Linked DNA regions of Drosophila melanogaster. The protein of the gene in region 1 purifies or fractionates together with the protein of each later gene. This does not show direct contact. Each region holds a gene or a part of one and is shown on either strand. Other genes may lie near its edges.

What was found.
Region 2: the proteins of CG3740 (region 1) and Snx21 purify together in Drosophila melanogaster (affinity purification with mass spectrometry, with the first as the bait; one large-scale study listed by BioGRID). This does not show direct contact.

What each region holds. Positions count from the first base shown.
Region 1 is NC_004354.4:1,667,906-1,671,223, forward strand, and holds CG3740 (uncharacterized protein), read right to left. Parts: upstream 1,393-3,318; 5' UTR 1,105-1,392; coding exon 903-1,104; intron 884-902; exon of another isoform or gene 840-883; coding exon 619-839; 3' UTR 501-618; downstream 1-500. Other genes in the region: dor (deep orange), read left to right, coding at 1-465; hfw (halfway), read left to right, coding at 2,015-2,032, 2,911-3,318.
Region 2 is NT_033779.5:2,763,549-2,767,688, reverse strand, and holds Snx21 (sorting nexin 21), read left to right. Parts: upstream 1-2,023; 5' UTR 2,024-2,186; coding exon 2,187-2,193; intron 2,194-2,261; coding exon 2,262-2,405; intron 2,406-2,490; coding exon 2,491-3,184; intron 3,185-3,247; coding exon 3,248-3,383; 3' UTR 3,384-3,611; downstream 3,612-4,140. Other genes in the region: Taf10b (TBP-associated factor 10b), read left to right, coding at 1-352; aph-1 (anterior pharynx defective 1), read right to left, coding at 599-922, 982-1,374.

The DNA.
Region 1 (3,318 bases):
CAGGAGCTGCAGCGTGAAATGGCCGAGACTACGGAGCAAACCGATCGCGTCACCGCCGAGTTGCAGCAATTGCGCCAGCACAGCCTCACCGTTGAGTCTCAGGATACTTGCGAAATTTGCGAGATGATGCTGCTGGTTAAGCCCTTTTTCATCTTCATCTGCGGCCACAAGTTCCACAGCGATTGCCTGGAGAAGCACGTTGTGCCCTTGCTCACCAAGGAGCAATGTCGGCGCCTCGGCACTCTAAAGCAGCAACTGGAGGCGGAGGTGCAAACGCAGGCGCAACCGCAGTCAGGTGCCCTGAGCAAACAGCAGGCGATGGAGCTGCAGCGGAAGAGGGCGGCACTGAAAACCGAGATCGAGGATATTCTTGCTGCGGATTGCCTATTCTGCGGGCTGCTAATCAGCACCATCGACCAGCCGTTCGTTGACGACTGGGAGCAGGTGAATGTCGAGTGGGAGTAGTTCGCTACCACCGTCGTTCAGACCCAAATATTTATGTACATATAAAGTATTTATTATTATAAATAAACCTACACTGATCACAAAGGTTTCGACTGAGATAGCCGTCCAAATTCTACAGTTACCTGGCCATCGCCCACTTGCCCGCAGAGCAGGTCAGTCCACAATCTGCATGCGCAACTCGTTGGTCACGAATGACATGACAGTGTTAAGCACAGCCTGCTGAATGGAGGCGTTCTGGACAATCAGCGGCAGCAGCATCACCACGTCGGTGGGATGTATGTCGGCCACGGCCATGGTTACGTGCTGCACCAGCTGCTCTCGCTGTGCGTCCGTCAGGTCGTTTAGGATGACTTCGCCCAGCGGACGGAATGTGCCTGTTCGGGAGGAGGGAAGTGGAAATGTAGTGAGACTGAGTACGGGAGTTCTCCTCCGCTTACCGCTTGTCATCTTGTAGGCGGCGATTCCGCCGGCGGCCCCGCCAACCGCCAGCCCAACGGGGCCCAGGAGCATGCCACCCGCAAAGGAGCAGGCGGCGCAGATTGCCGCTCCCTTGCCGGACTGCTTGACGGCGACGCGGACGTTGCGCTCGTCCGCTACGATGGCTATCGCCTCCATCAACTCGCGCGTATCTATGGGCATATTTAGGCTACGTGGAGTTGGCCCGAATTTCGCAACGCTATGCTAGTATTTCCTGTTTAGACTTTGTTCCGTGCGGCAGTATGACGTTTCCGATTACGCCACCCGTTCCGTTTGTATCCTGCCTTTTAGTGTTGGTCTTGAATTCTCCAACTTGCTACTCGACAACATAAACAATTTCACGGAATCCGCTTGAAGGGAACTATTAAAAAGCTTATATTTGACTTAAAAAACAGCAACTTGATTAAACTTGTGAGCGCCAGATTCAGAGATGCGCAAACGGCGGTCACAATCGACGTTTATATCGATATATGGCCTTAACCCTTATGTGTTAACCCATTCCTGTTATGGGTCATACATTAAATTTCTTATATTAATCCTATAGGTTATTACTGTCCTGTTGCTAAGTTAAAGATGAACAATAAATTAAATATATATGTGTTTATTATATAAATTGATTCAACGGATTACGTTTGCCAACTATCGAATCGCAGTGCAAACGATGTCACTGTATCGATAAGTCGATTGCCCGCGGCGAACAGAGCATTTAACATCAGACTTAACAGCGAGTGCTCTGCTGCGCTGCGCGCACTTAACATTTGCATTTTGTTTTGTTCGTAGTTTATCAATTCGAGTCGAGATACTTTTGTGTTTCACCTACGTATCACACCCGACCGATTCTTCCCATGCACGGATCTGTGGCAGATCACCTGGCGGACCGAACGAGCCTGCAGAACCGCCCAGAAAGTAGCTCCTCTCCGCTGGGACTGGGATGTGCGCAAAGCATTTAAATTGTGAACACTTCCGTATGATTGCGATTCCTCGGATGTGGATGACCGCTCCGTTCCCGCGCCACCTAGTCGAGGAGTAAACCTGCCAGGGAGCACCTAGTGGAATTCATTTCGGAGGCGACATGCTCGCGTACACCCACGTAAGTCCAATGCGCATGCAGCTCTGCTAGTGTATGGGTGTACCTGTAGCAGGAGGGGTAGGGGTATGGACATGGGCATGCCGATACTGATATTGTGTTTATAATCTCGAAAGCACTCTAAATTGCTCCGAGGGAGGGGTGCTGCTAGTGAGGTTATACTACCCATGGCTCTATATTTTATACCACACCCAGTTATTATACTCATACAGCATAGGTATTTCTCATATTGTAGTTGTGAAAAGAAGCGCATTTGCCTTGAAATCAGAGGCCATCTTTAGTTAATCCTCGTATCCTCACACGCTATGGAACATTTAAGCCAAAAAGGAAATGTTTTCCATACCAAACCTATTATTGGCCTATGGTAATACCAAACTGTTATGCTGTTTTGACCAGCCAAAGATCTGGAAATAGCCCCCTTCCACTTCCACTCCATGCCGAAGCCGACAATTTGCCACCAACCGACACCGACCCGCCCACAATTGCTGCCTAACACAATTAATCTTTTTATTGCCCTTTTATCACATACGATTCGTTAATTAATTGCCGAATTAGCATGGCAGTGTTGTTGGCAGTTGGCCCGCAAGACGCTAAATCGAGTGGGCAAACAATTAGAAACCAGTTGGATACCGAAGACCCTCCCGACTCCCAGAGCCGCAGGCCCAGCAACTTATGCGTACAGGGTGTGCCTCACTTACCCTAATTACGGCAATTGGAGGACGAGCCAGGCCAAGCCCTCGTCGGTCTAATTCGATTTGCAAACAAACGCGTCTGGTGTAGCAAATATTTGCATATGTATGTCCAACGTGCGACACGGCGTTTTTCCCATTTCCCCACTCGATTCGCTTTAACGCGCCCTTTGATTGTCGTTGTCGTTGCAGGGCACATGGCTCCTGCTCCTGCTGCTCCTTGTAGCAGGCGCATGCGCGCGGCCAGAAATAGCACACACACCGGATCCGGCTGCACTAGGCGAGGAGTCTACTCCACATGCACACGCACATCCACAGGCTCGCCATCATCACCATGCCCATCCCCATGCGCCGCTGAAGGAAGATGAGCAGGGAACAGCAATACCTGCTCCCATCCTAACAACTGATAACGTGGGCATTGGGGAAACCACGACGGCATCAAGTTTGGCCGAGACGCAAAGCATGTCCGATCCGGGATCTGTGACAGACACAACATCCACAAGCACATCGCACTCCACCTCGACCACGTCGACCACTTCGCCCGCACCCCTTCCGCCGGCTGCTCCCGAACAGCCCGAGTATCTGAAGCACTGCTTCTAT
Region 2 (4,140 bases), on another chromosome or scaffold:
AGATCGGGATAGGACCACACCATCTTCGCATCTCAGCGACTTCATGTCGCAGCTGGAAGATTATACTCCATTGATTCCGGATGCGGTCACCTCGCACTATCTCAACATGGGAGGCTTTCAGTCGGACGACAAGCGCATCGTTCGGCTGATCAGCCTAGCCGCCCAGAAGTACATGTCCGACATCATCGACGATGCACTGCAGCACTCCAAGGCGCGCACCCATATGCAAACCACCAATACACCGGGAGGATCGAAGGCCAAGGACCGCAAGTTCACCTTGACCATGGAGGATCTGCAGCCGGCTTTGGCCGACTACGGTATTAATGTTAGGAAAGTGGACTATAGTCAGTAGATAATGGCATGCATTGTAGTAGTTTTTTTCTCATTAAAAATAATGTATCTTAAGATCTGTGTTTTGGGAATTTATTGCGAAAGACCTTGGGATCTTAATGCATTCTCATTCTTTCAAGAAATCCATTTAGTAAAGGGATTTAAGTCCATAGAATGCGTAACTAATCGAGCATATACAAGGTAATTTGTTTTTTTTTATAATGTTATACAAAAGCTATTAACTAGGCGGTTAATACTAGGAGTATGTTTACTGGCATGTTATGAATTTTCTGAAACTGCGAGATGTTCCTCCAGCCACCCGGAAGGCCAGGACTCCCGTAAGTATGGTGACCAAGTAGTTTATCAGCAGAGTGGTCGTGTAAAGCTCATTGGCATTGAGCAGAGTTATCAGGGAGACGAACAGGTGGCTGAAAACCACATAGCCTATGTGGATATAGTTGTTTGTGTCGAATGCGTTGAAGAAAATAACGCTCCAGAAGGTGTGCAGCAGGATAATCGACAACGCCTGGGCAGCCGAGGTGACGAAGAATAGCTCAGTTCCGCCCTTCAAGCCCATGGTGCCGGGACCACTCTAAAAACCAAAAGATCTGTCATTGCTCGGAGCACATTACGCACCTTTGCTGCACTCACCATATCAGCCAGCACATTGACCAGTGCAAACATCCCGGATATAATGCCGAATCCCAAGCCGGAGACATAGGCCAGGATGTGCTTGTTGTCCGTCACTCGCGTGTCCTCCGCCACGGCGTGCAATCCCTGCTCCGTGCTGCGCAGTATCCGGTAGATGATGTACCGGAAGGCTTCCTGGAAGCACACCGAGAAGACCACGCCAAATGCCAGGAACTCCTTCAGCGGAATCAGGGCATACCACAGGGAAGAGATCAGCAGGGAAAGCAGCCAGAAGAATGCCGCCGCAATCAGAATGATGATCCGCACTGGATCATTGGCGATGGTGAAGACGAACAAGGCGAAGGGCGGTCCGAAGGCGATGAAGGTGCAGCCAAAGAACTCGGGCAACGTCATCTTGTCTTTGTATTATTACTGTTTTTTCTTTTGCTCTGTGGGTGTTTTGGTTTACTTGGGAAGAGGAAGCAGAGACTCGCATAGAGTTGCCAGACTTTTGCAGTGCCATTCGGGCTGCCACACTGTACGTTTTAGTAGTGTACATACCCTACACAGATGAGTACATTAGCTTGTGCGTCACGCAAAAGTATACAAATTATTTAAACTGCGAGAATTATCCAAACAAATGGGAATCTTTTAATCTTAACTTAATTGCCTAATTACCTATCCTTTGCTTTAATTTGTATATAAAAACCAAATCCAGCCTTTAAAAGTAATATCTACTGAACTACAGAAAGGGTATATTAGGACCGCTTTTGAAGATACATTTTTGAAAGCTGCCAGACTGCAGAGCACTAATGTCTTCATACCCTACTATATAAAGTCTGTTAATTCAAAAATAACTTGTTGCTAAAGTACACGATATGTATTAGAGCTCATAAAAATTGTAGCCTACTAAATCATTATACAATTTATAGAAATATTTAATATTATTCAAAAATTTAGAATATAGTTATTCTAAATGTTCCCTAAGAGCCATACCCGCGTAGGGTGTTACAGAGGCCGCCTATGCGGGATTCACACGCACAAAACAAAGGCCTCCGTCCCACTTGCAATGTTTTTGTTTGGGGCGGAATTAGTCACTGTAAATTGACTCAACAACTATGCCAACCGCATAATCCGCCGTAAACCAGAAGCGAATTGCAAGTGCCCAGCTGCGGATCGAAAACAGCAGCCCAGCGAGAAATCACAAAGAGATTCATAGAACCCGTATGCCCAGTGAGCACAGTGAAACCTCCAATTAGCAGTTCGTCGTTCATTTGGTTTCGTTTTTTCTTTTACCCCAGTTCACGCCGTGATGGCCAAGCGCCTGCACCACCAGCCTACCTTCGATGGGGATCCACCCGGTCCGGATGAGCTGGACAGTCCAGCCATCGAGGCGGCGGCCCTCGACATTCCCCCTCCCGAATCCGATAAGGCGCTCCAAAAAGGTTTGTGTAACCATTATCTCACACTCGCAAAATATGTAGGTACAGTGGATAATCTCTAAGGCGAATATTGTCTGTATCTTCTTAGGTGTCTGGGAGCGAGCCACAAGTGCTGAGTATAAGCCGACCACGGATGGGAGCACCGTGCTCCGCTTTGACATCTTGCTGGCCCACATAATGCCGCCCGATGGCGAGGATGTGAAGATCAAGCGGTTCGTGGTCTATGAGCTCACTGTTAAGCAGGATGGAGCCACGGAGGACACTCAGCCGGCAAAGATTGAGCGCCGATACACCGACTTTCGGGAGCTTTATCTGGGCCTTAAGCGGCAGCATCCGGCGGAGATGGCCAACAAGTACTTCCCAGCCAAGGTCCTGATGGGTAACTTCAAGTCCGAGCTGATCGGCGAACGGAGTGCAGCCTTCGAGGCATTCCTCACGTATGTGGCAAGCCAGGCGATGCTCCGGGACTCGGAGTACTTCCTGCGCTTCCTGCAGCACGACGAACTGACCAGGGCGTGCCAGTTTCTGGATGAGCGGCGTAACGAAATGGCCATACCTATTCTGGAGAACTGTTTCCGCTTGCTGAACAAGATATACATGAATCGATCGAGGCCGGTGCTTTTGATACTCTGCCGTCTAGTGGCTGCCTGCACCTCATCCCCAGTGCCTCATCACGCGGCCGAGAGGTGGGCCCTGCTGGCACTGAGTCGCTTCGAGACGTTGTGCGATATTGATCTGCTGCCGCTCTACATTCCCCTGCTTCACACCTGCGCCCATCTGTGGTGAGTCCAATCGAATCTTTCCGCATTAAGAAAAAGGCTAATCTGAATATCTCATCCTTTCAGGTGGCAGCGCGGCCAGGACCAAAAGCCAATCACCGACCGACTGACTGACATGTCCAAGCAGGGCATCAACACGGCGAACACCGAGAGCCTCATGCAGGCTATACACAAGATCGATCCTCGCACTGAAACAATTTGAATCGTGAATCTCCGCTACAATTTTCATCCATTAGTTTAATATTTTGTTCTGTAGTCTTTAGCTGTCCGGCGAAAAGTGCAATTAGATAATGTGTGCAATTAGTTTTAAGGTGAAAGAAGTATTTATCAACCTTTGAGGTAGAGCCCATATGTACCCCCTTTGTCCTCCAAAGTAGTCCGTTCGTGCGAACAATGTGTCACAAAGCATAACCAATTTAAGACAACAATTAAAAAAAAAAAGTATGTACGTCTCTTCGTCTAAATGTTTAATTCGTTATTTTAAAACTCTGATTTTCAAATTAAAATGTTAGATTTTTATAACTAAATCAAAGATTTTCAAATAATTTAACTAAAATTGGTTCTTATTAATAGCTTACATTAATATTGCGACTAAATGTAATTCGAAACAAAAAGGTTCTGTTCGTAACGTACTGCTTTGGTAACTTAAAGGTTAGTCTAAGCATATTTATGTTTCATGTTACGTATTGTTTGATATCTCTTCAATCGTCTAGTTTGTAGTTTGTACCCAGTGGGAGTTGTGATTAAGCCGTGCAACGTACATAATTCACAAATCCATCATCGAATGTCCATGACGCAGTGTCTCAAAATCCATGCCCAGAATTCCATATCAGCCTGCGGAAATATCAGACAAGTCAAACGAACAACGCAGCTCCCAGACTTTTTTGTTTTTTTTTTCTTCCAGCCCAATGTCTTGTGATTGCTTTTTCAATAAATAAATATTATACTCAAGTGTTTTG